3 linked regions of the Struthio camelus genome follow. The protein of the gene in region 2 purifies or fractionates together with the protein of the main gene of each other region. This does not show direct contact. Links are inferred from orthologs where the notes say so. Each region holds a gene or a part of one and is shown on either strand. Other genes may lie near its edges.

Evidence for each region.
Region 1: the proteins of STK35 (region 2) and CTDSPL2 purify together in Homo sapiens (affinity purification with mass spectrometry; 3 studies listed by BioGRID and IntAct, counting the BioPlex papers as one, with this or other methods). This does not show direct contact. The link is inferred for Struthio camelus from reciprocal best matches to the Homo sapiens genes STK35 and CTDSPL2.
Region 3: the proteins of STK35 (region 2) and C21H1orf174 purify together in Homo sapiens (affinity purification with mass spectrometry; 3 studies listed by BioGRID and IntAct, counting the BioPlex papers as one, with this or other methods). This does not show direct contact. The link is inferred for Struthio camelus from reciprocal best matches to the Homo sapiens genes STK35 and C1orf174.

Annotation. Positions count from the first base shown.
Region 1 is NC_090953.1:1,134,265-1,142,109, reverse strand, and holds the start of CTDSPL2 (CTD small phosphatase-like protein 2), read right to left. Parts: upstream 3,010-7,845; 5' UTR 2,878-3,009; intron 2,442-2,877; exon of another isoform or gene 2,243-2,441; intron 2,223-2,242; exon of another isoform or gene 2,008-2,222; intron 1-2,007. UniProt on the Homo sapiens protein: Probable phosphatase.
Region 2 is NC_090959.1:18,139,833-18,147,425, forward strand, and holds the start of STK35 (serine/threonine-protein kinase 35), read right to left. Parts: upstream 3,018-7,593; 5' UTR 3,003-3,017; coding exon 2,597-3,002; intron 1-2,596.
Region 3 is NC_090962.1:1,311,168-1,318,529, reverse strand, and holds C21H1orf174 (UPF0688 protein C1orf174 homolog), read right to left. Parts: upstream 2,840-7,362; 5' UTR 2,797-2,839; coding exon 2,740-2,796; intron 2,195-2,739; coding exon 1,691-2,194; intron 870-1,690; coding exon 762-869; 3' UTR 510-761; downstream 1-509.

The sequences.
Region 1 (7,845 bases), on a different chromosome or scaffold from region 2:
CTGTTAGAAAAAACAGAACTTTAAAGTCTTTGGTAAATACTAGTTTTGTTGGTGTCAGCCTTAGCAGCATGAGAAGCGATCAAAGAAAAATAAATGCCAATACAGTATGGGAAAACTTTGTTAGATGGAGACTAAGTTTCCTTTTGAATTTGGTATATTTTTTAAGTACTTAAGAATGCTATTCAGCCTGCAATAGTGTCATGTCAGCGTGCTGGGGAATCAACACAGTGGGAAGATGTTATCAACACTCAGAATGGAAGTATGAAGACAGAAAGTTACCTTTAAATTACAAAGATGCATGTACAGCTACAACATTTCTGGAGTGCTTACGTAATTAGAAAAATGACCCAACTGCACCATTACATCTGTGGGACAGAAATGACAAGAAACTCTCTTCTTTAATGAAACAACTCTCTCGGATGAAACAGGAATGTCAGCTTCAGTGTGTACTCCACTGACTGGAACAGGATCAAGTCTCAACTAAGTTCCACACAGTGTTTTCAGGGAAAAAGTGGAGGATGTTTTATGGAATTTAAGTCTGGATTTGGCTAGCATCCTAGAACATACATCTTGTTATGAAAACTGCTGAAGCACTTTTAAGTGGGCAAGCCACAAGTGTCCTTGGAGCTACCCATTCAACTGGAAGCCGCACAGGCGAAGCCTTCTAAAGTAGATGGGATGGAGGGAGGTGGGAAGCAAGGGTGGGGAAATAATCTTGGAAGTATATCTGTTATAGAGAACTGTTCACTTGTGCCTACAGCATGAAGTAGTTACAACTTGTTTCTTGTTATTGTCACAGATCCAATATGTTACTCTGGCTAAATCATAATCTCTTCCTGCCTCAGTTCATCCATGTGTAAACCTGGTTCACTACCTCTTACCTTAATGTGTCACGAGGCTTAATTAATAACACTTAGGTCTTTTAAGCCCTCTACAAACATTAACTACTTCTTGTAACAACTCTCTGAGGTATTATTATCCCCATTTTATTGATGGAGAAATGGCAAAAGCGGCTGTGACTTGCCCATGGCAACGCAGTAATAGCTATACTTGGAGATCCTCTTCATGGATTGTAACAGTGCGAACAACTTCCATCGAGGAAGGCATATTCAACAAACACAATCTCAAAATTACTTCTGAAAGTGAACCACAAGCAACTGGAGGACTACCAAAAAAAAAAAAAACCCTACAAGAAAACACAGGCTGGGGACCGTCTTCACAGAGGAGAAAACGTTCTGGGCAGGTCTAGCTTCACCCAAACGCTTAGGAAGAAACAACACGAGCTGCTCCTAACTATGGTTAAAGCCCAGCCGCAGGCTTGCGCCGCGCTCCTCCTCAACAGAAAGCGAGCGGACAACCAGCGTGGCATGCAACAAGCTGCTGCCGGGCGCAGCCTTCCCAAGCGCTGACAGGAAACGCCGACAAGCAGCCCCGGAGGGTGGTGGTCCTGCACCTGAGGCGCCGGCGGACAAAGTTGGCCTCGTCCCGTTTCCCCACCCCCGGGGCCCGGCCGGAGGGGCCCGCGGCGGGCGGCCGCGACACGGGCTCGCACGCAGCTACGCCGCCTCCCCCCCCCCCCCTCCGCCCCACCACCACCACAACAACCGGCCGGGACGGCGCGGGGGGCGCCGCGGCTGCGGAGGCGCCCCGCAGGCCTGGGCCTGGAGGGCGGGGCGGGGCGGGGGGTGTCAGCGCGGCGCTGACAGCCTCGCCGCCCGCCCGCCCGCCTCGCCCGGGGGCAGCGGGCCCGCCCCGCCAGGGTTGAACCCCCCCCCCCCCCAATCCTCCTCCTCCTCTTCTCCCCGCGCTCCGGCCGCGGCGGGGCGGCCTCCGCCGTGGCGGAGGGGCAGCGACTCGGCGGGCAGGAGCGGCGCGGCAGGGCAGGGCGGGCCGGCCGGAGGGGGCTGCCCGCGCCGCGGCAACCGGCCGCCCCTGCCTTCTCCCACCTGATCCCCGGCTGGGACCCCGCGCTGGCCGAGCCGCCGCCGCCGCCGCCGCCTCGCTTACCTGCGGGCGCCGGGGTGCCGAGCAGGCGGGCCCCGGTGTCCGGCGGCCGGGCCGCGCCGAGCCGAGCCGGGCTGGGCCGGGCCGGGCGGGCGCCGCTGTGTTTACACCGCCGCCGGGGCTCGGCGCTCCGCAGCCGCTCAGCAGCCAGTCGCCATTTCCCGCCTACCGACCTGCTACACCGCACGGAGGGACCCGGATGGGGAGAGGGGCCGCCGCGCAGGCGCAGCCCGGCCGGGGGAGGGGGACTGGGGACGGCGGCGCCGGGGCAGGCCGGGAAGGAGGGAAGCGGGGCCTCGCGCGGGTGGCGGCGGCGGCGGCGGGCCGGGCTGTTCGGCGTCGGGGCAGCGGGACGGGCCGGGAGGCAGCGCCGGGGGCGAGAGTTCCTCACGCGGAGGAGGCGCCGCGCCGGCCCCGGCGAGGCGAGGCGAGGCGAGGCGAGGTGAGGTGAGGTGAGGGGACCCCGCCGCGCCACACGGCCGGCTGAGGTGAGGCGAGGCGCGGCGCGGCCGCAGCGGCGCGGGCCCCCGGCCGTTAGCGGCCTTTATTTACGTGCCGTGCGGCTGACGGAGGGCCCGCCGCGGCCCCGCTCGCAGCTCCTGCCGGGCCGCCCGCCAGCGGGGCGCCGCCGTGCCCACCCTCGGGGACCGGGGGAACTGGGGGGGGGAGCCGCGGAGGGGGTGTGGGGCGGGGAGCCGGGCGGGAGTAGCGTTTTCTGCCCTCCCTGAGGAGGAAGCGGCGAAGCGGCTGGACGGGGCGGCCGCGCCCTGGTGCCGCCGGGGCTGTGGGGGCCGCGTCCCCCCCCCCCCCCCCCCGGCCGCCCTCTCGCTCGGCCTGCGCCGTGTGGCAGCGCTCGGTTTATGCCGGTTTTACCTTCTTTTCCACCCCGTAAGGCAGCGGTAGTTTTGCGGTGTGCGTTGCTGTGTGGAGGCACCTGTGGATTCTAGCGTAAAGTTTTACTTCCACTTTTTTTTTTTCCCCCTTCCTTCTTTCTTTTTAGGCAGTTTCTCGCGGTGTTAAGTGTTGGAGGTGTTGCAGGTTTTGGCGCTTGAAGGGCTTAATGAAGCAGCTCGAACGTCTCACGCAGGGAAGCGTAAGAGGACGCGTAGTAAGTTTAGATGCCCGGTTTACATGCTACTAAACTTGTTTATCTGATGTTTCTTCCTGTTTGTGATCCGTTCGTCCTCTAAATTTTGTAGAAAAACCTCATTTTCTGAGATGAATGTGTTTTCTGACATTGAGACAACTTCTCTCTCAGCAGCTTTTATCTGCATTTATCTGCACTTCTCTGCACTAGAAGCCCCCATGTGTATTGCAAGTTTTTCTCTTCTAATAACTATTGACCCGCTTTTTAAATTTTAATCCAGGGTCCTATTAGAAAAGACCCAGCTCTCTAGGCACTTAAAGTATTTATTGACTTGTTAAACTGAACCACATCTGCTGCCATCGTTTGTTTTAGAATTGTGTCATAGGGTTCTAGCATTCTTTGGCAGAAGACATTATAACATTAATTTTGCCCTAGTTTCTTAAGGGAAGAGGTAATAAAAAAGATAGTGGAAGTAGTGTAGCCCTCATTCAGAACAGGGAGCCTTATTCCTTTAGTGTACTAAATAAAATACTGAAGTATTTCTAGACTCGCTAATTCAGCATAGTAGTTGAATATTTTTTGTATGGTCAGCTGTGAAAAAGGTTAGCTTGGGCATGTTAAAATTTAATTAAGATCGTTTGTCAGTCCATTAAGAAGAACTAGTGTGGCAAGATGACTTTGTGATGTCTCATAATACAAGCCTAAGAGGACATTCAATGATATTTAAAAAGTGGGAGTTTAAAAAAAAAAAAAAAAAGTAGGTAGAAATATTTTTTCAGCCAGTGTGCAATTAAAATGAAACTAACTGCCAGAGAAAATCATTCAGGCTCAAAACCAGGATTCAAAGCAAGCAGATATTTGTATCAATACCAAAATTTTCTAGTGCTTTTATAAAGAAAGCCAAAAACCATTTAGAAGACATACTAGCTCATATGACTCAGGGCTCAAACTAATCTGAGTGGGAACGAGAACTGTGCTTTTCTGGACTGCAGTTTACTTAAATATGTCTTTGCAGGGGTCTTGGGCCATTCTCAGATTACCTGGTTCTGAGGGCTGTCTGAGAAAGGATTTTTGGGCCAGAAGGATTGTGAGATTTGCCATATGTCAGATGGGAATAAATATAAAGTCATATTGTTAATTGACAGTGCTGTGAAGGCAAAAATTCAAGTGTACATCTACTGTAACTGTTCCCAAGATTATAATTTATACCAGGAAAAGAACATTAGTTCTCTGTGGGTAAAATACAAAAATACTAAATAATGCTATGTCTGCATGTGTATACATCAGGCATTAGAAGACTAGAGTGTGCGCTAAGTTCACAGAAAAGGCAGCAACTGTATTGGCAGCAACTGTTTTTTTTTTTTTTTCCTTGATGGTGGATTTCAGGGCTTCCATCAGGTAGAGATATTCTAGGTGCGTGTTTTCTTCAGTTTGTAGAGAAACTGAAGGAAAGAAACTATACAGTTGCTAGCAGCGTTGCACATATTTGGAATGTTATACTCTGCGAATGATCATTTGAAAAGTAATTCTTCATATGTTATGATTTTCCCCTAACTTTCTGCCTTTTTGAAGTCTTGGTGATCCGTTAGCTTTGTGTTTACGTGCTCATTTAAAATGACTTATTTTAGAGTGACTTCCTTATTCGTTGTACAGATTAAGGGTTGGTGAGTCTACCAGCTTCTCTTCATAAGCAGTTTCAAATGGCTGCAGTTACGGAGTCATATTTTATTTCACATTTGAGTTTAACTTCCAGCTCTTGTGTCTAACGCTTCTCAGCAAGAATCAAAAGTCATGCACTGCTGGAGTTCTTCTTTCATGTGTTAGGACCTACATGCAGTGATCAGGTCACCTCAGATTTCCATTTCATAAGCTGAAGACGGTGCATTCTTAAGTCTTGCCTGCTGGGCTTTGTTTTCTGGGGAGAGGGCTTTATTCCCTGGTTAGCTGGGGGGGGGGGGGGGCTTTCTTTAATTTCTGTCCAGTATTTCAACATCCTTCTTTACTTGTTGATTTCAGCTGTTACACAGAGCATGGCAATTTAATGTTATTTACTTCACCAAAGGGAAAATACTGTGATTTGACGATGAGAGAAAGTTGTTGTGTAAACCAAACGGTTCTTATTTGGGTTTAAAATGTTCAGATTACCTATTTGCAGCATTTGTTGTTTTTCTTGCTTATCTGAACAAAAAATGTGTTTATTAGGTAAATGGAATTGTGCACTTGAGTTAAATGAAAAACAGCTACCAGGCTATACTTGCTCCTTTGTGCCTAGATGTCTGTGATCCAATCTGTCTGCTCAGGAACAGCTACAGACTTACTCTTTTGACTGCTTGTACTTCAACTAACAGGGACTGGAATTCATATGGTACTGTTATTCTCATACAGAAGCAAAGCAAGCACGAATTTAAATGAACTTACACATACATCTGATCTAGCATAGCGCATCTTTGAAGAATTTACAGTCATGAAACAATCCCCTGTGGATGAAAATGTACAACCAGAAGTGATCGAGTCTAGTTTTAGGTAGTTAAATTGCAGAGTGCCCATACTAGCAATCCCATTGCTGCTATGTGGGAAGAGTTTAATACGAGTTGAGGAATTAAGAGTGTTCTGCTTTCTGTATCAGTATGAAGTTCTTGCATAACAGCATAACCTTGTTTCTAGCTGGCTAGAAGATTCCAGTGCATTCTCATAAATAGATGTATATATCCCCCTTCCCCTCCTTAACAAAAAAAAAAAAACAGTGTTATTCTATCGAAATAGTATGCTTAAGCATACCACGCTGAAGCGTACCGTGCTCCAAGCATCTCACCTGCCATGAGGCTCTTTCCCCTTTGGCTTTCTCCTCCTTTCCTTCCTCCATATCAATTGGAAAGTCTTTATCAATTTGAAAGTTCTGGTTACTGCAGAATGCTGCACTATTTCTCCACAGTGATAAAAATTATTGGAAGCACCAGATCTCACTTCTTTTTAGTTTCTTTTAGCAAAATTTTTGATCATATTAAATGTTTTAGACGTACCCCTTAGAGTGCTATACCTTGGATTCCAGAGTATTTAAAGTGCTGCCTGTATCCTGGGATAAAGATGGCAATTGACAGCTCTCTTTCTGGCATGGTGAAATTGCCCATAATATGGGTGAAGCTCAAAGTTGTCAGATAGAGGGTATCTTGAGAGGCTGGTGCTGAACAGACTCTGCTAAGAATGAGGACCTTGCAGACCTTCCTGCCCTTTTTCTTTGAGTAAAATAACATTTTTGATTTGGCTGTTCTCCATTATGGAAACAAAATAGCGGTATTAAATATATTTATATAAACGTAAACCTTATATGATAGGAAGACATTCCATTGCATATACTTCTTCCCCTTGTGAGAATGTACAGCTTCTGTTTGACAGCTGTTAATCAGTTTCCTTGGTTCGTTGCTGTAAAGGCTGAGATAATAGAGTAATCAACAGATTCTAGGGACAAGATCTGAATTACTTTTTTCAGTGACGAATTCACGGTATGAGATAGGCTCCTTTGAGGATTTGCAACCAAACCTGATTCAGTCCATGTTTCGAACGTGCTTAAACAATGGATTGATTGTACTAATAACTTCATTGTTGCTATTTGAGAAACAAATTTTCAGGAAATAAAACGTCAGATGAGTTCAGGTTAAATTTGGGCTTTTCTTGTGGCATATGAAAGTTGAAGAAGTCTTTTTTTTTTTTCATGGTGTGCTTGAATGTAGGCAAAGATATAAATTCTTTAGTAGCTGTACTTGGGAAGGAGTGGACTTGCAGAGTGGAAGTTGAGGTCTGCACATACCACAAGTGTACACACAGGTATATTTGTTCAGGCAAATCCACAAGAGTCTGAAAGGAGAAGTAAATGGATATGTGTGCGTGAAAGTTGAGGGAGTGTCTAATTAGTAGTTGTATCATAAAGTGGCAGATAAGGACCTGGCTCCTCTTCCTCTTTTAGCATTGGTTATGTCTTTGGCAGATCATAAACTGTGTTTGTGAAGGGGCAGGGGAAGTTGAATGTAGTATTTTGTTACAGAGTTTTCAAAAATTGGTTATTTATGCAGAGGGTCGATTGCATGTTTTAATATTAAAATGAAGCCAAAGTAGATGATAACCTGTGTAAAGTCTAGTCAACCTTGTGCATTGCCCAGGCAAATCATATGCTGTGAGTCGCTGAAAACAGTTAATCTACTGCAGTATACTTGCTTACAAGAGATCTCTTCTGCAGGCTTTGGATTTTTCTCTGTTTATGAGTTTCTCTGTATGAAAATGTAAAGTGCTAAAGTTAAATAAAACACATAACATTAGTTATTTAGTACTTGTTTTCCTAACTTGACACTTTAGTCTTCAGAAAATATTTAGTCAGAGTTCTCTTTGCAGCTATTAAAACTTTGAGAAATTTGGTTGTCTTTCATTTGTTTCATATATAGCCAGTTCTTACTTTTCAGGAAAAAAACCAAACAAACTGACTGTAGTATCTTAGTAACATTTAAACTGTAATAGGCTCTTGAGTGAGTCTTAGTTTTTGTGGTTTCCGCATAACTTTGAGAAAGCTGTGGCAAAGCCACTCTTTAGAGAACCTATGCAATTGAGTAGTTGGGAATAACAGGAAAGAACTGAGTTCTCTCTTTCACTGTAAGTTCACTGTAAGTGCCTGTATTTCTTGTATTTGTAGTAGAAATCATCCTTCAGTCTTGGCAGCAAGGTCTTCAGCTTGCTATTCTTTGTTTTCTTTCTGTATGTTACAGAGG
Region 2 (7,593 bases):
GAGGGGCAGGGACCCTACGAGCAGGGCACAGGGTTACAGAGGTGCTGGAGAGAGGTACAGCAAAGGGGCACTGAGGCAGGAACCAGGCTGGGGGGGGGGGCGCTCAGGGAGGGGTGTCCCTGGGAGCAGGGACTCAGGCAAAGCCCAAGGGACAGGAGCTGGGGGAAGGTGACACTGGGCAGGGTGTGCATGGGGAGAGAAGCCAGGGCTGGGGGTCCTGAAAGGGGGGAGTAGGCACAGGGATGGTGACACTGGGGTCCCATGGAGTGCCAGGGGTGGGTGACAGCAAAGAGGGTGCTGCGGGCAGGGGAAGAGCATAGCAGAGACAGGACGTAGGTGGGCGACGGGAGCAGTGCTGGGGACGCCTGGGGCAGGTCTTGCTGAGGGCAGAGGGACCCCGGGTGGGCAGGGGTGAGGCGGAGGTGAGACTGGGGGCACCAAGGGTGCAGCAGAGGGACCCCAGGGGGGCTGCTAAGGAATAACAAGGGTGGGGGTGACGATGGGGGGAGCAGGGGTGCAGCAGGGGGTCTCCCCAGAGCAGATGCTACCAAGAAGGAGGTTAAGCAAGGGGCGATGCTGGGACAGGGTGAGGCTGGGGTGGCAGCACTGGTGGGCGAGCGATGCCAGGAAGGGGGGTCCTAGGAATTACGTGGTGCTGAGGGTGCCCTGGGAGAAGGGGGGGAACAATACCAGGGTGCCCTGCACAGGTATCCCCAAGGTTACCTGGGGCAGGGGACGGTCCCCAGGGGATGCGAGGGAGATGGCAGCGCCAGGGTGCTGGGCTGGCAGGGAGGCATGGTGGAGGGTGCGCCGGGGTGGACAACCCTGGGGAGGATGATGGTGGCATCCCCCAGAAGGGTGCCGGGGTGCTCCAGGGGTGATGGCAGAGTGCCCTGGCAGGGGTATCCGGGGAAAGCGATGCTGGAGTGCCCGGGAAGGGGCCAAGGTGCCCAAGGGAGGGCAACCGGGGTGCCCTGGTGGGGGGGGGGGGGGGGGGCACCCCAGAATGATGGCAGCACCAGAATGTTGGGGTAAGGGGGAGCACCCTGGGGTGACAGCAGCACCAGGTGCCATGGGGGGGATCCCTGGGGTGAAGGGGAGGTGGGCTGGGGTAATGACAGCCTGGCTGCTGTGGGGGAGGGTGAAGAAAGTGTGCTGGGGGGGGGGATGGGGACCAGGGTGCGTGTGTGTGTCCCAGAAAGGGACCTCCTGCAGAGGAGGGATGTCTCGGGGGTCCCCAGGGAAGGACCCCCCCCGGAGGAGAGTCCGGGGGAGGGGGGGGAGGGTTCCAGGGAGGGATCCTCTGGGGGGAGGGTGTTCTGGGTGGGGTGTTCAAGGGGTGACCTGGGGGGACCCCAACAGAGGATGTCCTGGGGAGGGCCCCTAGGGTGGAACCCCCTCAGAGGGGTGCTGAGTCAGCAGGGGTCTCTAGAAGAAGTGCCCGGGGGGGGCCTCCCAGGGGGTCCCCTTTGGGGTGCAATGTCCCAGGGTGGCTGTCCACAGAAGGACCCCCTTGGGGGGGATGTCTGAGATGGGTCTCCAGGGGGCCCCCTCAGGGATGGTGTCCTGGAAGGGGGTGCCTCCCAGTGGTCCCCCTCGGGGGGGGACATTGGGGGGGTCTCCAGAGGGGTCTCTCTCAGGGGGGTGGGGTTCCCTCAGGGGGAGATGTCTCCAGGGGGATCCCCCTGAGGGTGAGGGGGAGGTGTGCCGGGGGGTGCCCCTTGGGGGGGGAGGAGGTGGTGTCTCCAGGGGGGTCCTGAGGGTCCCCCCCAGGGGGAGGGGGGGTGCCAGGGGGAGGTGTCTCCAAGGGGGTCCTGGGGGGAGAGCAGGGGTGTGCCAGGGGGTGCCCCTTAGGGAGGGTGTCTCCAAGGGGGTCCCCCTTGGGAGGGGAAGGGAGGTGTCCCAGTGGGAGGTGTCTCCAGGGGGGTTCCATGGGTCCCCCCCAGGGAGAGAGTGGAGATGTGCTGGGGGGTCCCCCATCTGGGTGGGGTGTCTCCAAGGGGGTCCCCCTCGGGGAGGAGGGAGGGTGTCCCAGGGGAGGTGTCTCCGGGGGGGGTCCCCCTCAGGGAGGAGGGGGGGTGTCCCGGGGGGGAGGTGTCTCCGGGGGGGGTCCCCCTCAGGGAGGAAGGGGGGTGTCCTGGGGGAGGTGTCTCCGGGGGGGGTCCCCCTCGGGGAGGAGGGGGGGTGTCCTGGGGGAGGTGTCTCCAGGGGGGGTCCCCCTCAGGGGGAGGGTGTCCTGGGGGGAGGTGTCTCCGAGGGGGGTCCCCCTCAGGGAGGAGGGGGGGTGTCCCGGGGGGAGGTGTCTCCGGGGGGGGTCCCCCTCAGGGAGGAGGGGGGGTGTCCCGGGGGGGAGGTGTCTCCGGGGGGGGTCCCCCTCAGGGAGGAGGGGGGGTGTCCCGGGGGGAGGTGTCTCCAGGGGGAGGGGTCCCCCTCGGGGGGAGAAGGGGGGGTGTCCCGGGGGGAGGTGTCTCCGGGGGGGGTCCCCCTCAGGGAGGAGGGGGGGTGTCCCGGGGGGGAGGTGGGGAGGGGGGGGGTCCCCCTCAGGGAGGAGGGGGGGTGTCCCGGGGGGGAGGTGGGGAGGGGGGGTGCCGGGTACCTTTGAGCGAGGTCTCCACGAGGCGGAGGTAGAGCTGGCTGCGCTTGTTGCCGTGGCTCATGCGCTGGCCGAGGCCGTGGCGCTGCAGCACGCACTCCTCGAAGCGCACCACGTTGGGGTGCTGCCGCCGCAGGCTCGTCAGCGCCCAGAACTCGGCCAGCGCCAGCTCCACGTTCTCGGGCGCGTCGCAGCGGATGCGCTTCACCGCCAGCCGCGCGCCGCTGCGCCCCGACACCGCCTCGTACACCACGCCGTAGGCGCCGCGGCCGATCTCCGCCAGCAGGCTGTACCGCGGCGCCCCGCCGCCGCCGCCGCCGGGCCCCGCCGCCGCCATGGGGGCCCGCCGCGCCGCCCGCCGCCGCTCCGCTCTTTGTGTCCCGCGGCGGCCGCCGTCCGCCGTCTCCATGGCGCCGCCGGCGCGGGGGGGCCGCGCGCCTGCCGCCGCCGCCGCGCCCTGCGCATGCCCCCGCGCTGGGGGCCGCCGCCGCCGCTGCTGCCGCTCTGCCGGAGCCGGCCGGGGGGCACGCGCCGCCGTGTCGGAGGGCGGAAAAGCGCGCCCTGCCTGCCCCTTTAAGCGCTCGGCCAATGGCGGCGGGGCGGGCGGGCCCACGCCGCGCGCGGAGCGGGGGGGCGGCGGCGGTGGTGGTGCCGCCCCCCGCGGGGGGGGCCCGGCCGCCGCCGCCGCCGCCGCCCGCCAGCGCCGCCGCCCCCGCCGCGCCGCCACGGTGCCTGCGGGCCGCGGGGGGCCGGCTCGCCGCGCCGCCGCGCCCCGGCGGGCTGCGCACACGCCATGCAGCGCGGCGGCCGCCGCCGGGCCGGGCCGGGCCGGGCCGGGCCTCACCTGCGGCGCGGGCCGGGCGCTGCTGCTGCTGCTGTGGCGGCAGCGGCGGCGCGGGGATAAGCGGGGCCCGCGCGCCCTGACGTAACCCCTTATGTAACGGCGGGGGGGGGAGGGGGGGAAGGGGCTGTCCGCGCCGCACCGGCGGGGGAGGGGGCCGGCGGCCGGGCCGTGTAATGCAAAGGGGGGTGCTCGGGGGCCGTGCAAAGGGGGGTGCTCGGGGGCCGTGCCGTGCAAAGGGGGGGTGCTTGAGGGCCCTACAATGCAAAGGGGGGGTGCTCGGGGGCTGTGCAATGCAAAGGGGGGGGTGCTCGGGGGCCGTGCAATGCAAAGGGGGGTGTTCCGGACTGTGCAATGCAAAGGGGGGGGTGCTCGGGGGCCGTGCAATGCAAAGGGGGGGTGCTCCGGGCTGTGCAATGCAAAGGGGGGGTGCTCGGGGGCCATGCAATGCAAAGGGGGGTGTTCCGGACTGTGCAATGCAAAGGGGGGGGTGCTCGGGGGCCGTGCAATGCAAAGGGGGAGTGCTCCGGGCTGTGCAATGCAAAGGGGGGTGCTCGGGGCTGTGCGGTGCAAAGAGGGGGGTGCTCAAGGGCCATGCCATGCAAAGGGGGTGCTCTGGAGCCGTGCAATGCAAAGGGGGTGCTCGGAGGCCATGTGGTGCAAAGGGGGGGGTGCTCTGGGACTGTGCCATGCTAAGGGGGGTGTTCTGGGCTGTGCAGTGCAAAGAAGGGGGGGTTCCTCCAGGATTGTGCAATGCAAAGGGGGGTGCTTGGGGGGCATGCCGTGCAAAGGGGGGGGTGTGCTCCAGGGCTGTGCAATGCAAAAGAGGGTTCTCCGGGGCCGTGCTGTGCAAAGGAGGGTGCACCAGGGCAGTGTAGTGCAAAGGGGGGGTGCTCTGGGCCATGCAGTGCAAAGGGGGCATGTACTGGGGCTGTGCAGTGCAAAAGAGGAGTACACTGGGGCCGTGCAGCGTAAAAGGAGGGCACACCGGGGTATTACAGCGCATGGCGGGGGGCAGGTGCCCCAGGGAGGCGGTGCAGTTTTGATCAGTGCACTAAGGAGGGGGGGTGTTGGTGCCCTGGAGAGGGGGGTGCAGTGTAAGGGAGTGGGAAGCTGTGCCGTGGTGGTGCATTGTAGGGGGTGCACTGGGAGCCTGTTCAGTTGCGGGGGGGTGTCAATGCACTGGCAGGGTGACCATGCAGTGCTAAGGGCTGGGATCGGTGCACTGGAGGCGGTGCAAGGAGGTGGTCAGTGCGCAGGGGAGAGGGGAAGCAGTGCAAGGGGATGCTGGATGCACCAGGGGGAGCGTGCAGTGCAGGGGGGGTCTGCGCATTGCAAAGGGGGGTCAGTGGAGCAGAGGGGGCTGTGCGTGCAGCAGGCTGTGCAGTGCACGGGGATCGGTGCAGTGCAAGGGGAGGTGCAGTTGTGGGGGGACATGTAGTGCAAGGAGGGGGTGCAGCAGCTTGTGCAGTGCAAAGGGGCTTCTGCAGCTTAGCCAGGTGCTGCGGGGCCCCAGCCCTGGTGAAGCCCCCTCCCCAGACCCAGCTCCCTGGGGTATTGCTGCAGGCGATTTCCAGCAAAAGCCCCCCTAGAAAGTCACTGAAACGCTGGGGCTGAAGCCTCGCTGCCCTCGGGGGCCAGAGGTTTTAGGGAAGCTAAAAACCGGGTGAGGACGAGCACTGTCCCCAGGGGTCCCCGCGCCCGGCTGGAGCCCTCTTGCCCTGCTCTCTCCCGCCATCCAGGGGCTTCCCGAGCGTGCGGTCGTGCTGGCCGGCCGGTCCCGGCGGTGGGGCCATGCCGTGGCTCCGCTCCGCGTTACTCCCGCTCCGCCTGGCCGTTTCCACCTCCAGGCACCCCCCGGCTCGAGCAGCGTGCGGTGGTGGGTTCATTTACCCCGTGCACGTGCGCATCGCGCACCGCCGGGACCGGGGCTCCACCATGCCACCCAGCCCGCCGGCGCTTGGCTGTGCCGCGCCGGGAGAAACGGCGATGGCGCCCCGTCGCAGCAAGCACCGCGGCGGGGCCGGGACCGGCCGGGGCGCCTCGTCCCGGGGAGCAGCGCGTGGGCGTCGCGGCCCCTCTCCGGCAGCCCCCGCGGCCACGCGCAGCCCCGCGTGCGCGGTGCGAGCAGCAGCGCTAAGCCGGTGCCGCGGCCTTGGCCCGCTTGCCGGCAGCGCGCCGCTCCGGGGGGGCTGCTTGTACAGAAGGACGCACGTCTGTTCCCGCAGGGTCGTTTTCCTGCCACGAAAACCGCCTGTTTTGTTCCAGCTGTTTTTTTCCGAGCCTCTTCTCTGCCCGCTTTGCCTCGCTCGGCGCAGGTGACGTTAGAGGCACTTTGCAGGCGGTCAAGGAGAGCGTCTGCAGAGCGAGTTTACGGAGGAGCTCTGCAAATCGCTCTTTGCTTGACTCACTTGCCAGGCCCGTGTTGAGAGCACGCGCCAGGCAGCAGCCGCGGCCCCTCCGCGCTGCCCAGAGCATCGCGCTGCCGGCGCGGAGACCCTGCGCCGGCCGGGCCCCGCGCGGCCGCCCGGTCCCTGCCGCCAGGCTGGCGCAGGAGGGGAAACGAGGTGCCCTGAGCGGCGGCGCGTGCATGCCAGGAAAAGCCTCTCCTCCGCCTAACATTCGGAAAATAAACTTTCTTATCTCATTCTCTCCCTGCAAGGCGACCTGTATTATCCCCGCGGATTGCCAGGGAGCGCTCGGCTTTGGGTCTCGTCCCAAAGCCGTTTGCACGGAAGACGCTGCCTGGTGCCGCCGGCAGCCGGCCGGGGTGCAGCCGAGAGCCTGGGCTGGGGCGCGCTGGCGGGGAGCGCAGCGGCCGCGCGGCTGGCTGCCTGCCCGCGCGCAGCGAGCGGGGCTGCCGGCGATCCTCTGCAAGTTTTTAAAGCTCGATTTGCTTTTCAGTGGAGCCACTTCACCGCCTGGGCTGGGAGGAGAGGGGGTCCTCGGCCGGGGGCAGCCCCGCGCGTTGCTGCGCGACGCCCGTTGTTTGCTCGGGCGCCGCTTTCTGCAACGGCGTCGAGTGGCCACTTGTGCTCGCTGCCCGTGTCTTTGTGCGCCCCGGTCGCGCCGCCGCGTGCCCACGCGCGTGCCCCTGGGCTGCGCGGCCGCCGGCAGGCAGGAGCCGAGCTCCCCCCGCGGCGCCCAGCCCGCTCCCCGCGGGGGCGATGCTGGGGAGCGGGCATCGCCCCGCGCGCCGGCTCTCCCGGGAGCGCGGTTCGCGCCTGGCCGCCTCCTCCCTGGGGCAGCCCGCGCAGCCTGCGGCCGTTTCAGGGCCACGAGGGTGAGCAAGCGATTTAATACCAGCCCTTTCTGGAAAAACGCCGTACGCCTGAATAGCGGGGAGCTGACCGGGCGCGATGGGAATTGCTCCACGCACCGCAGGCGGGCTGCTTCCCGCGGGCACTGCCTGCCGGGGCACCGGACCGCGCTCGCAGCGGCGCCGGGTCGCGCACCCGCTGCTCGGGGCGGCCAGCGAGCTCGCCCCTCCGAAACATGGGTGCAGGCTGGCTGGGGAGTTCCTTCCCTTCCCCTCTCCCTCCTGCTGGCTCCCACCTTGCCCGCGCTGGACGATGCTCTGCAGACGCCGGCAGGGCCAACGGAGCCGCTCTCCGCTCCGAGGCCAATGCGGGCCTCGAGGGCCGGGCTGCCGGGGGCTGCCGGGGGCTGCCGGGGGCTGCCGGGGGCTGCCGGGGCTCCGGGCACAGCCGGCCCCGCCGTGACAGGCGCTGCGTGACGGTGTCTGCCATTAACTCCCACCTGCTTTTGCGCCCGCCTGGTACTTGCGCTAGTCCCCCTCCTCTCCTCATCAGCTTTTCACTGATGTAGTTAAGAAAACTTAACTTTTCTATTACTGCACATTTCTCTCTCACCCAGGTGCTTAATTACCATTGTCCCAGGGAAATGTCAGCGTGACTCAGAGACAGTTTCCCATTAGGAAGCGGCAGATGAATATTAATTAAACCGGCTGGTGGGTGGGCTCACTTGGAGCTCCTTTCCCGAGGGGACCCTGCCAGCACCCCACGCCTGCCGGGCCTCGGCCGAGGACCCTCTCGCCTGGTTCAGGGAACCTGCGGCACAAATAGAAACGAAGAAGATGCCTCTGCTGCAGGGACAGGAGCAATTCCACCTCCCTGCCTCCCTGCCCAAAGGAAATCGT
Region 3 (7,362 bases), on a different chromosome or scaffold from region 2:
ACAACATTGCACAACTTGCATTACACAAACATTTAAAAGGGCAATTTTTGTGGCTGATTTGATGGAAGAGAGAAGCCATGGGATTCACATGGTGGTTGTTCATAAAACTGACATGCAATAAGAATATATTTACCATCTTGAGACCAAAGCCATGGAACTCACGTTGACATACGTGCGTTTAGTTTTGCCAGCAAAACTGCGTTTTAAAGGTCTGAATTGCTTTCATTTTACAAGTAAAAAACGCAACACTAAACTTAAGGAACAGAGGCTGGTATCGCTCCTTGTACTGGGTAGTCTACTTGATCTATTAATAACCAGATGCCAAAATGGTAAACATCACAGAATTAAAAGGAAAAGGACTATCCAGCTGTGTTCTAGGATTGCTTGCTTACTTTTAAAGAGGAGGGAGAACAGGCCAACTGTTTCCTGGAGGTGTTGGCTCAAATGTACAGCACACTAGACCAAATAGACCAATAGACTTTTTTTTAATAAATGAAAAGCATTAGTGGTAAAATGATAAAATACAATTTATTCCAATTCACTAAAAGTTCAGCCAAACTCTGTTCCCCCCCCCCCCAGATAACCAGAGGAGAGTACAGTATCTAACGAGCTCACAGAAAAACTTTACCAGTTCTCCCTCTGAGAAAAGGCAAATACAAAACAAATCATGTCAGTGACATAGCCAACCATTACCTTTCACTAGCCAATACAGTGGCGTAAAATCCTTAAAAAAATAGTTTTGTTTGTTTTACATTTTGTGGTTAGAGGACATCCTCTTCCTCCTCCTCATCTTCCTTTGCAATGAAATGCAGCTTTCTAAATTCTCGTCTGCTCATTGTTGTGCTTGCAAGTGCAACTGCTGGGAGGTCCTTTAAGAAAAAGGATAAAAACTTAAGAAAAACCAATTGCTGCAAATAGCACACTTCCTACATGTCCAGTGCTTCCCGTTCCCCTACGCCTCATACATGAGGTATTAATACAGACCTCTTAGAAGTGATGGCATCTGCATAAACCTTAAATAAAAGCCTAAGAGCTCTGAAGGGAGCCTGCTATAAGGCAGTGCTGGCTCACGGTCAAAGTGAGGGCTGGCATTCCTTCTAAGCTTTTAGAAAGGGATTCAGAAAGGGTTAAGCGCTCTACAAACAAATCCTCCCTATCCACGTTAAATACCAGTCCTCGCTAAACACCAGGAAAAAAGAAAGCATCACTTGTCCAAAGTTACAGTATGTTAAAGGCAGGACCTGGGATTTGAATTTATAATTCTGTCCCTTGATCAGTCCAAAAGCAGAGCTGGTCAGAAACCAGTTTCTATTCCAAAGAAGTAAAGTAACCACAATTAAGAACCAGTGAGCAGTGAAAAACTACCTCATTAAAAAAAAAAAAAAAACTTTCTCCATAGTGCAGCTATCTGTATCTTTATGAGTAAAAGTATTTATCCTATGGAACTGGAATAATAAAATCCGAACAGGAAAGTCTTTACTTCTGACATAGACTCGGCCAGACAAGTAATTTCATCTCTGACTGAGGTCAGTCTTTCTATCTAGAAGACAGGGACACTTCTCCAGATGACTACCAATATCGGTCAAGTTTGCCAAAAATTTTGAGGCTAGACTACTGGCGTTTGGAGACACAAGGCAGGAGCAGAACAGAACCCAGTCTGTGAGCAGTAAACAGACTTTCATCATCTCACCTGTATAAACTCAACGTTTCCAAAGAATCGGTCCACTGGCATTGGTTGGTTACTGTCTTCGTCTAAGAAAGCACTATCATCGCGCTGTACTGGTGTCTTCGGGGCACCTCTGTCCTCCAAGCCGGACTCACCCGAAAGCACGCTCTCGCAGCTGCTTTCCTCTCCGACGCGGCAGGCACAGTTTTGCAGATCTTCAGCGCTTCCCGCTTCTGACGGGGCGCTGCTCGAATCCACCGCAGAGGGCTTCGGGGAAAGGTCGCCTTCCTTTCCCTGTCCCTCCGCCCTCGTCTCTGCAACGCTTTGCCCTGCTGTCCGCCGCGTTGCGTCGCCGTCTCCGGCGTCTCCCGAGCGCCGACCCTCGGCCGAGCTGCTAGGTGCTTCCCTCCGCGCAGCCCGCGTCCCGCTCCCACCTGCGCGTCCTGCTCGCGCCGATTTCACTAGACCGCTTTTCTCGCCTTTTAGCCTCTTTGAGGGCCGGGTGTCAGTGGCTTTGCGTGGGCAAGGCTGTCGCAAAAAAAAAAAAAAAAAAGACAAGACAAGGCCCTACAGCTTACTTCAAGTAAATAAAGGATTTAAAAAAGAGAAAACCACCCAGCGGCACTAGTTGCTAGGCTCGCCACGAGACCGAAAGGAGCAGCAGCCAGCGCCTAAGCTACCTCACTAAGACAAATAACTATTAGGAAGCGCAGGTAACAAGGGAAACAAAGGGAGCGAGGAGCGCCTCAGGTGAACTGCACGCTGTGGACTGGTTCATCACCAGCAGAAAAACCTCTGCCCCGAGCACGAACCAAGGCAGCACGCGGCTAGCGGCCTTCTCGCGCTCTCACGGGGACGCGGCGAGGCCGCCAGCCGTGGCACAGCCAGCTCAGCAGCGAGTAACCCATCCAAAACCCGGCCCCAGGCAGGTGAATGCGTCTCCCGTACCTCTTTTTTTTTGTTTTAAAGTTTAAAATTCACTTAAACCCTCCAGGCAAATCGATCACGGTGCTGCTGAGCACGGCGGCGCCACGCCGCAGCCCGCCCCCGCCTCGGCCCCGGCCCTCTCCTACCAGGCTCACCGTCCGGGCCGCCGCCGCGGGACCGCCCCGCTCCTTGCGGCTCTTCATGGGGCCGCGGCCGGCGCCGACCGGCCCCACACGCCGCCCCGGCCTCCTCGCCGCCGCGCCGCCCGCCGCCATCTTGGGGAGGGCGCGCGGCCGCTGGCGCCATCTTGGGGAGGGCGCGGGCCTGGCAGCGGGGCCGCGAGGCTCTGCCGGGGCGGCCGGCCTGGTCCTGTGATGGCGGCGAGGCCCCGTTACAGCCGCTGCCGCCCAGAGAAGAGCGAAGGCAGGAGCTTGCTTGCAGGCTCTCCCCGAGGGGCAGCTGCCCGGAGGGAGCGCAGAGGCCAAAGCTGGTTCTGGGCTCTGAACGTTGCAGGCCTGCCGCCTCCCGCTGCGGCTTCCTCCCGGAAGATGCGCAGCGAGGGACTCGCTACGCGGATACGGCCGCCGGTTCACTGCTGCAGCCCTCGGGGAACAAATCCTGCTAGCAACCGAAATCCCTCTGTAACTTCCAGGGCTCTCGACGCCCGCGGACGAATTTCCGTGTCGCCAAGCAGCAAGACGCCCGGGCTCGAGCACGTCGTCACCCGCGCCGTGGGGACTTGCGCGCGTCCCCACGCGCCACGGGTGGGGGAGCCCGTTCCTCGGGGCAGGCCGGTAATGTTCTGCTCGTTTTGGAGCTGTGCCACAATTCCGGTGGTTTGAAGATGATACCTACGCTCCTCAACTGAACTGCGCCGGCAAAAATCCTTGCCCGTGCCTCCTGGCCTTAAAAAACACGAGCAACAGTTTGAACTTCAGAAATAAATGGGCCCGGCGACCTTGGAGGATATTCAAAGGCGAAATTTCTTCTCAAAAGCAGGAAGTCTCCCAGTTAAACTGCAGAGGTTCAGAGACAGGCCTGATATGTTGTTCTGCAATTTCACACAGTGCTCAAGGGTCCTTCTGTGCTTTGTTCTGTGGTGGAGATAATTCATATTCTCCAAAAGCATCGTGACTTGCTCCACTCTCTCACAGTATTGTTGCTTGCAGCCAAGGAATACAGATGATTGTTTTTATTACACAGTGAAAACTTATACTGTCTCATAAACAGAAAGGGACTGGAACTGGCGGAAAAAAAGCAGCATTTCTGCTGCTAGAAAAGAACTTTGTTGTTTTAATTTCCCCATGAACTGAAAATTGTAAGAAAAATCTAATTTTGGAGAATTGGAATTTTATATATTGTTTCCATAACACTGTTTCTCATTCTTCATGCTGCTTAGCAAAATTGACGTGCTTATTAGAGCAACGCGGGCAGCGATGCCTGAGCTGGAAGCAGCCCCAGCACAAAGGTAGCCAAGCGACTGTCGGTACCCGAGCTAGCGAGCCGGGTCACGTACCCCTGCAGGGGCTGCCCCTGCCATGACTGCAGCGTGGGCAAGCTTTGTGCGAGGGGTATGCCGCCACGAGCGCCTGAGATTGTGCACTGTGGCCGCAGGCACTACGCAGGAACTAAACACCTTGCACGGACAAAGGCAGAAAGTCTGGGCTCCTTTGCAAAGCTACTGCATTATGGTCACTCCATTCTCTCTCCCACGATAACCCTACTTCATGGAGAACCAGCAGTGATTTTGCAACTGCAGATGTTACTGCTTTTTCTGAAATATCACTGACCCCTTTCTGAGAAAACATCCATCATGGAGTGCAGAAAGCACCCCAGGAGAGGCAAGCGAGAACAGAGATCCCCTCTGAGATTAGGCCACGTTTCATCAACAGCCAGCGTCTCCCGAGTGATTTGAAAGGCTACACAGCGACTTCAATCAGAAGCAGAGCAGCACCAACTATTTATATTAAATTCACATTTCCATGTAAAAGAGGACTTATTTTCAACAATATTAAACAGTGTTTTTTATTAGGATCTGTTGTGTCTAAGCAGGCAGGCAGGCAAAGAGGAAGATTTTGTGAGCTCCCTCGTTTCTCTGAAAGCTGGCTAGCAGCTATGAAGAAACAGCTGATGAGCTTATTGAGCAGGAAGGAAGGTTCAGGCTGTGAAGCTGAATGTGTAAATTAGCTTCTTGCAGCACTTTTCTCTGTGCCTGTCACTTTCCCCAGCATCCCTGTCTGTTATAATCCTCTGAGTTCATTTGGCTAAACATTAGTGACATGTTAGAGACAGCAGCCAAAAAAAATAACGTTGCCTGTAAAAATAATGGCTGTTAGCTGTTGAATGAGTGATCTATCAAGCTAAACAATAATCCAGCAGGAGCACTGACTGGTCTTTTCATGCATTGGAAAAAAACTATTTTTAGTTACGGCGACTTTTTTCATTAACACACCTGGGGAAAGAGCAGAAAGAATATCTACAGTCTAATAAGTAGCATCAAGCGCTTGGCCCCCTGTCTAGCCCGTGGTACCGCATCCTGTCTACCTGCCACTTTCTGTGCTGCTTTGGCAGAGCAAGCTCCAGCAATACGAGCTAGACGTTAGCTCAGCTGTAGAAGACAGCCTTTTAGCTGCAGTTCTAGCCAGTCACACCACACTGACGTTGTCATGCCAACTCGGTTAAGGACAGCGAATATTGAACCACAAATTTTGGGTTTCCTTCCTAGATGCGGTCTCCCAGCAGAATTTCTGATGAGCTGATACCTCAGCTAGAGCTGAACATGCCGAGGGGTCTGCAACCCAAACACACCTCTGACGTCTGCCATCACTGTCTGAAAAATTACTATCTTGAATATCTTTGCCCCACTCAGATCTGAGGCAGTGTTTCATTATTCATATCAGAAACCAGAGAGTCCTGACATGCAAGTAACAGGGAATTTATGATATATCAGGAAATTTTAACTGCCACATGAAAAAACCCAAATGTCTTGGTTTAGATTTATTTCTAATGTCACCAAGGAACAAATGTGGGGTGCAGGTATCTGAAGAAATTAATACAACTGAATGAAGTGCATAGGCTTTGTAAGAAAGAGAACAAAGAGAAATTATGAAATCCATTACCTTAATGCAAAACCTTAAGGGAGATCTGCACAACAGAGACTTGGTCTCAAGTGGGATGGTCAGAATACATGTCTGACTGAAGAGCTGCTCTCACTGACCTCCCTGGGAGGGATACAGCCAGAGAGACCAGCTCCTGCCTGGGAACAGGTTGGTGGCAACAAGATCCTCCACGCTATTTATACAAAATGGCCAGTTTTCATCACAATCTCTAGCATTTACATAACAATAATCCTTTCCAAAGCACTCTACAAATGCTACCCAACGAATTCAGGGCAGCTGATTTGCCCAAGGTTTCATACCCTTCCAAAGGCTTTAATTGGTTTGGGCAGGGCTGCTTTTTAGAGCATTCCATGAAACATAAGTAAATCTCTCCCTGCACAAGACATCCCACTGAGCCAAAATCATTACCATTGCTCCAGGAACCAGTTTGATTACATGGACTATGACAACTGGTGTTGCCACTAAAAAGCAGAATAGCGACTCACAGAACTTCCTTCTGCCTTAGTTTAATAGTTGCTTTAACTACAGTTATGTAAGCAAGCAGTCTCTTTCCACCACGTTTTTCTTTTTCAGAACATTTTGTCGCAAGGATTATGGTGTAAATTACATCTCAAAAGTCGCTTTTGTTTTGTTCCCTGTTTAACTATTCCGAGAGCCAAAACTGGGCACAGCATTGGCCTAAGTGGGTGCAGAGATAAGTGCTACAATGCAGATTTGGGGCAGATTTCCCGCAGTTAGCTCTAAGAGAGAGAGCAAGTATCCAAGTATCTAACCCTAGACTATTTATGCTGGCAGCAGCCACCCAAGGACCTGAGCACTTCATGATCGGCGACTTCCCCTGTTTTGTGGGATAGGGAATTATTGCTGCAGTTCCCTGTTCACAGAAGGGCAGTTGGGGTGTGGGAAACAGCCTGCCCAAGGTTACAGAGAAGAGATGAACAAACTGCAAAGCAACTTCTCACCCAGAGCAGAGCAGGGCTCAGTTACCTTCGCCAGGAGAAGGGGAATAGGAGCTGCAGCCTCTGCTCATGCTGCGTCCATCAGCACAAGCCAGGCCCTGCAGCACCCAGCCGCACACTGGCATGTCCCTGGGGCTCCCATGCTGGCAGCCAGGCTGCCCACTCAGGGACACATCTCCAGGGCTTCTTAGACCTCCTGGCTCCCAGACACTGGGGGTCAGTATTAGACAGGAAATTAAGTGCACAGACGCACAGAAAGGAGCAGGAAAAGCAGCTTGCAGTCCCTAAACTTTCCCAGCACCAGGCTGGAGCTGGCACAAAGGAGCTGCCCCAGCAACAGCCAGCAAGGGGACCAACGGCACAGAGGAGGCAGCGCTCAGAGGGACTGCAAAGTTGGCAGGGCCTGCAGAGGCTAAGTCACGTTGCAGCTAAGGAAGCAGTGATTTTTCCCTCTCTCCTCTTGCCGTTTCCCTCTCCGCACCCTCAGACACGCGGGCAGCCCAAGCACAACACCGAGAGCGGGGCAGCGGGCGAGCAGCAGCATTGCCCCACGCAGAGCTGGGTGCCACAAAGGGAGCTCACCTCCAGCGCCGAGCAGCTCCGCACCCTGCCAGCAGCCCAGGCCAGGCTCCTCGCGTGGAGCTGCACCGGGGGCTGCAGCGGTTGTATTTAGTCGTTCTGGTAATCTGCT